Saccharomyces cerevisiae S288C: one gene and its partners. The gene in region 3 interacts genetically with the main gene of each other region. Each region holds a gene or a part of one and is shown on either strand. Other genes may lie near its edges.

Region 1 (3,934 bases), on a different chromosome or scaffold from region 3:
GACCTTCCCCGCTGAACGGGTTGAAGATATTACGTCCATTTCCGAAGTAAACACCTCGTTCAACGAAACTGAAAAGCAGCTAATATCAATCTTGACTAGTAAACTATCTGGTTCTCCAAGCTATGATTCCGATTGGGAAAAAATCCTGAAAGTTGACCTATCAAGGGGCAAACTGAAGAATATGTTTGGCATGCAAAGACTACTACCGAATGTATTAGTGCTAAACCTTAGTGACAATGAAATGAACACTCTAGAAGGTATACCCTCGAACGTTGTACAGCTATTTTGTTCAAACAACAAAATAACGAGCGCACATTGTTCATTAGCCGGATTCCACGATCTGGAATGCCTCGACTTATCGTACAACCTCTTGAATACAAGTTTAAAATTTTTGTCACTTTGTCATCACCTGCAAGAGGTGAACCTTTCTTACAACTCCATCCAATCCTTAGAAGGGATAGGATCCTCCAGGATGAAAAAACTGAACCTTTCTAACAACGAGATTAATGGTATCATCGATTTCGAACAATTGATACTAACAAACAACTCTGTCGTGGGCGGCTGGTTGACCGTGGAAGTCTTAGATCTAAGCAACAATAACATAATTGGCGTAAGAAACATCAATTGCTTGCCCCGCCTGAAGGTTTTAAACCTCAATGGTAACCCGCTAGTTTCCATCGTGGAATCTTCTAAGATGGAGAACGGAACGTTGAGAGCGCTTTCCATCAAAAATACAGGAGGCGCGCTATCCAAATTACAAAATTACAAGTTGGATGATCAATTCACGTTCCCCTACCAAAATCTAAAGATTCTAAAACTGGACGGCTTCGCTCAACTTAGCAAATGGCAAAAATGGCCTGCCACTTTGCAAATTCTGGAGATCAACGGCGGCCTGGCCTCCTCTTTGCCGCGATTCTCTTCTCTAAAATCCACCAACTTATATTCTCTAACTATAGCTAATGTTAGAGACTTCACACACTTACCAGTGGACCTCTCCAAGGAACTACCGTTCTTGCAAGAGCTACATCTGCCAGGCAACAACCTACAAAACGCACACAAGTTAACAAAAACTCTCCCACGCCAATCAGTAAAATTTCTTGATCTACGAAATAACCCAATCACGACACCACGCCACGATCGCGCCAGCACGAGCTTGCATTACCGGCAGTTGCTCCAGCTTGCTGGCCTCTGCCAGCAGCAATGTCCCGCCCTGGCGACCCTCTGGTTAGATGACACTCCTGCCCCAACTGCCACGAATCTGTAACCCCATAACTATACCCGTACGCAGTACTAAAAATGTATGTAATTAGTAAATGTATGTAACAATTTCACCGTTTTGTGTAACAATTCATTCATTCATTCTTTTGATCCTTTAGTACCGTCCGCACATGATGTCATTTCCCCCTCATTTTTGTTTGCTGGTATGATTCCCCGCCCGGGCGACGGTACGGCTGTTATCCAGCGATGCGGGACTTCCGTCCACAGGTATCTTTTTCTCCAACTCCAACAGAGATGGAAAATGAGGGGCGGGTGTAGGTAAGCAGAATGAGGAGAAATTTGTAATGAAAATGGAAGTTCGGCGGTTATATAAATGGGGGGGGTTTGTCGGTGACAATTGACTTCACTCTCCTTTCCTCAAAAATTCTTGGGTGTTAGGATTAGAAGTATCTGGAAAACCAACCAAGAAAACTACAATAACAAAAATAAATAAAGCATGTTCAGTAGATCTACGCTCTGCTTAAAGACGTCTGCATCCTCCATTGGGAGACTTCAATTGAGATATTTCTCACACCTTCCTATGACAGTGCCTATCAAGCTGCCCAATGGGTTGGAATATGAGCAACCAACGGGGTTGTTCATCAACAACAAGTTTGTTCCTTCTAAACAGAACAAGACCTTCGAAGTCATTAACCCTTCCACGGAAGAAGAAATATGTCATATTTATGAAGGTAGAGAGGACGATGTGGAAGAGGCCGTGCAGGCCGCCGACCGTGCCTTCTCTAATGGGTCTTGGAACGGTATCGACCCTATTGACAGGGGTAAGGCTTTGTACAGGTTAGCCGAATTAATTGAACAGGACAAGGATGTCATTGCTTCCATCGAGACTTTGGATAACGGTAAAGCTATCTCTTCCTCGAGAGGAGATGTTGATTTAGTCATCAACTATTTGAAATCTTCTGCTGGCTTTGCTGATAAAATTGATGGTAGAATGATTGATACTGGTAGAACCCATTTTTCTTACACTAAGAGACAGCCTTTGGGTGTTTGTGGGCAGATTATTCCTTGGAATTTCCCACTGTTGATGTGGGCCTGGAAGATTGCCCCTGCTTTGGTCACCGGTAACACCGTCGTGTTGAAGACTGCCGAATCCACCCCATTGTCCGCTTTGTATGTGTCTAAATACATCCCACAGGCGGGTATTCCACCTGGTGTGATCAACATTGTATCCGGGTTTGGTAAGATTGTGGGTGAGGCCATTACAAACCATCCAAAAATCAAAAAGGTTGCCTTCACAGGGTCCACGGCTACGGGTAGACACATTTACCAGTCCGCAGCCGCAGGCTTGAAAAAAGTGACTTTGGAGCTGGGTGGTAAATCACCAAACATTGTCTTCGCGGACGCCGAGTTGAAAAAAGCCGTGCAAAACATTATCCTTGGTATCTACTACAATTCTGGTGAGGTCTGTTGTGCGGGTTCAAGGGTGTATGTTGAAGAATCTATTTACGACAAATTCATTGAAGAGTTCAAAGCCGCTTCTGAATCCATCAAGGTGGGCGACCCATTCGATGAATCTACTTTCCAAGGTGCACAAACCTCTCAAATGCAACTAAACAAAATCTTGAAATACGTTGACATTGGTAAGAATGAAGGTGCTACTTTGATTACCGGTGGTGAAAGATTAGGTAGCAAGGGTTACTTCATTAAGCCAACTGTCTTTGGTGACGTTAAGGAAGACATGAGAATTGTCAAAGAGGAAATCTTTGGCCCTGTTGTCACTGTAACCAAATTCAAATCTGCCGACGAAGTCATTAACATGGCGAACGATTCTGAATACGGGTTGGCTGCTGGTATTCACACCTCTAATATTAATACCGCCTTAAAAGTGGCTGATAGAGTTAATGCGGGTACGGTCTGGATAAACACTTATAACGATTTCCACCACGCAGTTCCTTTCGGTGGGTTCAATGCATCTGGTTTGGGCAGGGAAATGTCTGTTGATGCTTTACAAAACTACTTGCAAGTTAAAGCGGTCCGTGCCAAATTGGACGAGTAAGGTCATCAATAAGCCTGGTGTCCAATCGATGCTTACATACATAAAATTAAATATTCTGTCTCTGTTATATTTCCACATGTCATCATTTCAAATATATGTACTTTAAAGAAAATAAAATAAAAAATAAAATTTTTTTCTCCCGATAATCAATTTTCTTAATTAATTAATTGCGTTACGATTCCGTTTTTTTACTTCTTTTATCTCATTATCTATCTAAGTTATTTAAAAAAAAGAAAGAACTTTTTATGAACTTTCCTCTTTTCTTTCTTTTAGACTATTTAAAATACATCACCTTGGTCAAACATAGCATCAGAGACCTTGATGAAACTTGCGATATTAGCACCTTTGACCAAAGATGGCAAGACCTTACCGTCCTTAGTGTACTTCTTGGCATAGTCGATACATTCATTGAAACAGTTGATCATAATTCTCTTCAACTCTTGGTCAACTCTTTCGCTAGTCCATGTGATTCTTTGAGAGTTTTGTGCCATTTCTAAACCAGAAACAGCAACACCACCCAAGTTAGCAGCCTTTGGTGGACCGTACCAAACAGCTTCGCTTGGTCCAGTGGCGGTGGAACGAGCAGTTTCAAAGACGGCAATAGCTTCTGGAGTGGAACCCATGTTGGAACCTTCGGCAATAAACTTGACACCTTGAGCA
Region 2 (3,481 bases), on a different chromosome or scaffold from region 3:
GACACCAAGTCCGCACAAAAGGTAGTTTGGTCTTTCTCCTGGTGCAGCTAGATAGTAGCTGAGTCCAAAGGCACCAGTAGCTAAACCACCTAAAACGGTGCTCCAGCATCCTAATGTGCACAAAACATTCTTCAAATGTTGAGTTAGAACATTTATTGGGGTGGTAATAGAAATCACGGTAGATGAAGTTAAAATACCGGCGTATAAACCTAATGATGAGACTGCGATACCTTTTACAATAGCTGGGGAGACTTGCATTTGTTTTTTAGTATATGTAAGGATTCTTATGAGTGTTTGTCTTAAACTTGCTTTTCGTGAGGTAAGGGTTAAAAAATCAGCTTGGATATAATTTGGAACAATAGAAACTTCTTTTCTCTCATTTATATACTGATCAACTCACAATTATATAACCTGGTTCTTTTTTTTTTTATTTTTCAACAACACAATAGATTCGAGTATGGGTAAACGAAGAGAATTACTTCGGCATTAAGCAAGGGAAATATCGCGCAACCGCGCACGTAATTATTTTTACTAAACGAACAGCAAATGCAGCAGAGCTAATGCGATGCATAAGATACTTGGATTCTAAGATCTGTTAACTTGAAAATGCTCTATATATCTGTCAAAGACACTATATTGTTGTATACTAGTATATATCTTTTAGTCAATTTCGATTACTTCCGGGCTTTTGGGAGCCTTGGACTTGGACGAATCATGGTCACTTTTCGTTTTTCTCTTATTGCTCTTCCTTAGTGAGATCCCTTGGCCTTGGAAATTTTGTTCACTGGATTTGCTACCAGCGGCACTTTCTTCGTCTTCTTTCGGTAGGACCATTGGGAAACCAAAGAATAATTGGCCTTCAGGCAGATCTAGCTTGGCGGGCTCGCCATCAAACGTTATCTTCATATCTTTTATATCTTGCTTGGGCTCCGCTTTCGGAGCTTTACCAGATATGTTTTGTCCCTGACCTACAAATTTAGATAGTTTGTTTCTGCTACTGTTAGCGATACCCGCATAGTCGATTCTTGTGGACATCGATCCCTGGCCAAGCACCGAGGGATCCAAAACTTGGCCCTTACCAAAAGAATTCTTTTTTTCTTTATCTTGCTGAGCTTTCAGCGCTTTGTAATCCGGTTCCACATATCCTACAGGTGGAGCAAAATCTGTTACTAAATCTGTTTCAATGACACATATACTCTTCGATGATGATTCTGGTTTGACTTCTAAGATCTTAATTTTGAAAGTTTTACCATTGTAACTAATCTCAATAACATCGTCCACGGTCAAAGTCGAGAAATTCCTCAGTACGTTTTCCAAAACTGCTTTGGGGTCGGAAATATCCAAGAAATCTACAGACTGAGGTTCTAACTTCACAAACTGGCCCAGAGGTACATCAGTAGATGAAATTTGCAGTAGAGATCCTGGCTGTATACCCAAAGTTTCCATCATCCATTGTGGTAAGTAAACTCTGCCCTCTTCAGCAATAAATTCTAAAACACCTCCATGTGTCACACGTCCAGTTTCATTGGCAGTTAGTTTAAAAAGCATGGGGTATCTTATGTTCAACATGGATAGTTTGCTTAGAGCACTTGGTGGCAGGAATATTTTCCCGCCGAAGTTTGCGTCATCCTTCCGTATTCTATCATTCATCATAGCTATAGGGTAGCATCTAAAGAACTCCTCAAACGTTTGAGGCATATTTACAAAACCATTTCCGCCGCCAAAAGAACTAAAGCCAGAAAACATTTTTATTATATTTTACAGTATCACTTTGATATTTTTTCCTCCCTTGCTATGGTATGTGTTACTATCTATTGAAAACTACATCATTATCTCTTCCCTATTCACATAGACCAGCCAGGATTACTTTTAACTACCTTTATTTTTCGCCACCTAACCCAAAAAAGGAATTCTTCTCTTTCGTAGAACGCAAGTTTGACTTTTTCGTCGTAAAGGCGAGTTTCCCAAAGTGGACACTTTTTTTTTTTAAGGCGCTTCGGCTAGAAATAGAAGAACGATAATAATGGCAGCGCACTGTGTATAATAACACCAGTCAACAATGAATCTGAAGCTAGAGAAAGAAACCCTCAAGTGTATCTGTGATGGCAGCAGGAAAATTGAAAAAGGAACAGCAAAATCAATCAGCTGAACGAGAAAGCGCTGATACGGGTAAAGTTAACGATGAGGATGAAGAGCATCTATACGGAAATATTGATGACTATAAGCATTTGATTCAAGATGAGGAATATGATGACGAGGATGTACCTCATGATCTACAATTAAGCGAAGATGAATATAATTCCGAACGAGACAGTTCTTTGTTGGCAGAATTCTCGGACTACGGTGAAATATCTGAAGACGATGAGGAAGATTTCATGAACGCGATTAGGGAAGCAAGTAACTTTAAGGTAAAAAAGAAGAAGAAAAATGACAAAGGTAAATCTTACGGCCGCCAAAGAAAAGAAAGAGTGCTTGATCCAGAGGTAGCGCAATTACTTTCTCAAGCCAATGAAGCTTTTGTCAGGAATGATTTACAAGTGGCCGAAAGATTATTTAATGAGGTAATTAAAAAAGATGCACGTAATTTTGCTGCTTACGAGACCCTAGGAGATATATATCAATTGCAAGGAAGGCTTAATGATTGTTGTAACTCTTGGTTCCTGGCAGCTCACCTAAATGCTTCCGATTGGGAATTCTGGAAGATAGTCGCTATACTGTCCGCCGATTTAGATCATGTTAGGCAGGCCATCTACTGCTTTTCCAGGGTAATAAGTTTGAATCCTATGGAATGGGAATCAATTTATCGCCGGTCTATGTTGTACAAGAAGACAGGACAGTTAGCAAGAGCTTTAGATGGATTTCAAAGGCTTTACATGTACAATCCTTATGATGCAAACATATTGAGGGAGTTGGCCATTCTTTATGTTGATTATGATCGGATTGAAGATTCAATTGAGCTCTATATGAAAGTGTTTAATGCTAATGTTGAGAGAAGGGAAGCGATATTAGCTGCTTTAGAAAATGCCTTAGATTCTTCAGACGAAGAAAGCGCCGCAGAAGGGGAGGATGCAGACGAAAAGGAACCCCTTGAACAAGATGAAGATAGGCAGATGTTTCCTGACATCAACTGGAAAAAAATTGATGCAAAATATAAATGCATACCATTTGACTGGTCTTCTTTGAACATTCTCGCGGAACTTTTCTTAAAACTCGCAGTTAGTGAGGTCGATGGTATAAAGACAATTAAAAAATGTGCACGGTGGATTCAACGCCGCGAAAGCCAGACATTTTGGGATCATGTTCCAGATGATTCAGAATTTGACAATAGAAGGTTTAAAAACAGTACCTTTGATTCACTACTTGCCGCAGAAAAGGAAAAATCGTATAACATTCCAATCGATATTAGAGTTAGATTGGGATTGTTAAGATTGAACACAGATAACCTTGTTGAAGCTCTGAATCATTTTCAATGCCTGTATGA
Region 3 (2,797 bases):
AACTAGCATGGCAGGAATACTCATCTATTTTAGAAGATTTAGACAAACAAATCGACCAGGCTTATGTCAAACGTATTCGCGTACCCAAGAAAAGAAAGAAGCATCATACAGCAGCTTCAAATAATGTGAACACAGGAACCACGTCTCAAATAGCACAACAAAAGGCTGCAAACTCAAGTTTAAAATCCCTTCTGGATAAAAGGCAAAGGTGGATTAATAAGATTGGTCCATTGTTTGATAAACCTGAAATTATGAAGAGAATCCCCAATGAAAGCGTATTCAAGGACATGGACCAAGAAGAAGATGAGGATGAAGCCGATGTATTTGCACAAAACACTAATAAGGACGTGGAACTAAATTAAAATATACGAACTCTAAGGAAAAATACGTAGCATAATAACGCATATAACTAACAATTTGGATAACTATCCATAAAAAAAAAAAAATAGTCACATAATACGAACATTAATATCCTTTTTTGTTACATTTTCTTCCATCTGAAATATTTGGAGGGGCAAAAACAATGAGATGACAGTTGAATGCATGAACTTCCGATCGCGGGCGTATAGGTAAAGTCAATTGAAGCAAGTGTGACGACATAAGTATCGTAATTTAGTGGTTGGATACATTAAAAAAAACAAGTGGTATATATATAAGTAGTAGTAGTAAGAAGTAAGCGATGTCTAGGGCTAAGAGAATTATGAAAGAAATCCAAGCTGTGAAGGATGATCCTGCAGCTCACATTACTCTTGAATTTGTGAGTGAATCTGATATCCACCATTTAAAAGGCACATTTTTGGGCCCACCTGGAACACCTTACGAGGGTGGCAAATTTGTCGTGGATATCGAAGTACCTATGGAGTATCCATTCAAACCACCAAAGATGCAGTTCGACACAAAAGTATACCATCCAAATATATCATCAGTGACAGGTGCCATTTGTTTAGATATTCTTAAGAATGCATGGTCGCCAGTGATAACACTAAAGTCTGCATTGATTTCGCTACAGGCGCTACTACAATCTCCAGAGCCTAACGATCCTCAAGATGCAGAAGTAGCACAACACTATTTACGGGATAGAGAATCTTTTAATAAGACTGCTGCACTATGGACGAGGTTATACGCCAGTGAAACTTCCAATGGTCAAAAAGGCAATGTAGAGGAGTCTGATTTATATGGGATTGACCACGATCTGATTGACGAGTTTGAATCTCAAGGTTTTGAAAAGGACAAGATTGTGGAAGTGTTGAGACGATTAGGCGTCAAGTCCTTAGACCCCAATGACAACAACACAGCCAACCGTATCATCGAGGAATTGTTGAAGTGAATAGATAAAAAAAAAACGCACCAAGTAAGTAAGTAAATAAAGAATAAATAAACTATATGAGTAAAACACCAAGCGAGGATGTTTCATTGTGCATCCGTGTTCTTGATGATCACATAACTGTAAAAGAATAATACGGCACGTTAAATGTTATTTTAGAATATATAAACACCTTATGTGCCATAAGCATTGAGCCAATCGCTGCTGTTTTTTTTATTCCGGGGCACCTTCGGAAGAACACAGGCGCAATTTAGTTATATAAGGAGAAGCCCTCGAGCGATCAGGGGACCGACTGCGGATCGCTTTAAGGCAAAGATAGAAGGATAAATATCTGCTTTGGAAGATAGTCGTATCTAATTTCCCATTCTGTTGTTTTCTTGATCTTTCCTACGCTTTCGACTTTCTTCCTACGCGCTTTATAATAGCTATGATGTTGCCAAGATCCATGAAATTTATGACTGGAAGGAGAATTTTCCATACTGCCACAGTAAGGGCCTTCCAGTCTACCGCTAAGAAGAGCTTAACTATCCCATTTTTGCCCGTATTACCCCAGAAACCAGGTGGTGTTAGGGGCACTCCCAATGATGCCTACGTCCCCCCCCCTGAGAATAAATTAGAGGGCTCATACCACTGGTATATGGAAAAAATCTTTGCCTTGTCCGTCGTTCCATTGGCTACGACGGCTATGCTGACAACCGGTCCGTTATCCACTGCAGCTGATTCTTTCTTTTCTGTCATGCTTTTGGGATATTGTTACATGGAATTTAACTCTTGTATCACCGATTATATTTCTGAAAGAGTTTATGGTGTTTGGCACAAGTACGCCATGTATATGTTGGGCCTTGGTTCTGCGGTCTCCCTTTTTGGAATCTATAAACTAGAAACCGAGAATGATGGTGTTGTTGGTTTAGTAAAAAGTCTATGGGATTCTTCCGAGAAAGACAACAGTCAAAAGATTGAAGCCAAGAAGTAGATAAATCACCACGAATCATTTGTTCGGTCATGTAACATGCACATCTATAGCAACGACGTGTCTCCTATCTTTTGCTTTTACCTTGTTTTCCGCCGGTATATTCCTTTGCCATATTTACTAGTATTTATTTATTATTATTTATTCTTCTATTTTTCTTTTATTTATTTGTTACTTCCTAATATCGTCATTATTATGCCTTTTTCATATTTGATTTACTCCAATATATTCTGTTTGAGCTTTGTTTCCCAGCTCCGAAGATTTTGAACTAAATACTCTTTCGTCACTCGCGGATTTTTAATTATAGTCAGTTCCTTTTCATGACAGTACACATCTCTACAGTCAAATCTTCTTGAAAATTTCATAGATTTACTGACTGAATCCATCTCTGCTTTAAAAATATTCTGTAGCTGAATTAAATGGCTTTCGATGATACCATCGTCTTCAATTTGACATTCTTCTTTAATTAACTCGTAACTTAACTCATTATATATTTCGCTTAA

Evidence for each region.
Region 1: of SDH4 (region 3) and ALD4, changing one suppresses a phenotype caused by changing the other (phenotypic suppression), as found in Saccharomyces cerevisiae (one study listed by BioGRID).
Region 2: mutations in SDH4 (region 3) and UFD1 together harm fitness more than expected from each alone (negative genetic interaction), as found in Saccharomyces cerevisiae (2 studies listed by BioGRID).

The regions. Positions count from the first base shown.
Region 1 is NC_001147.6:1,038,126-1,042,059, forward strand, and holds ALD4 (aldehyde dehydrogenase (NADP(+)) ALD4), read left to right. Parts: upstream 1-1,714; coding exon 1,715-3,274; downstream 3,275-3,934. Other genes in the region: NUD1 (Nud1p), read left to right, coding at 1-1,264; glutamate dehydrogenase (NADP(+)) GDH1, read right to left, coding at 3,553-3,934.
Region 2 is NC_001139.9:588,091-591,571, reverse strand, and holds UFD1 (polyubiquitin-binding protein UFD1), read right to left. Parts: upstream 1,747-3,481; coding exon 661-1,746; downstream 1-660. Other genes in the region: SCM4 (Scm4p), read right to left, coding at 1-258; transcription factor TFIIIC subunit TFC4, read left to right, coding at 2,103-3,481. UniProt on the Saccharomyces cerevisiae protein: Functions at a post-ubiquitation step in the ubiquitin fusion degradation (UFD) pathway. Has a role in the endoplasmic reticulum-associated degradation (ERAD) pathway.
Region 3 is NC_001136.10:816,199-818,995, forward strand, and holds SDH4 (succinate dehydrogenase membrane anchor subunit SDH4), read left to right. Parts: upstream 1-1,751; coding exon 1,752-2,297; downstream 2,298-2,797. Other genes in the region: histone acetyltransferase NGG1, read left to right, coding at 1-362; E2 ubiquitin-conjugating protein UBC1, read left to right, coding at 680-1,327; CSN9 (Csn9p), read right to left, coding at 2,510-2,797. UniProt on the Saccharomyces cerevisiae protein: Membrane-anchoring subunit of succinate dehydrogenase (SDH) that is involved in system II of the mitochondrial electron transport chain and is responsible for transferring electrons from succinate to ubiquinone (coenzyme Q).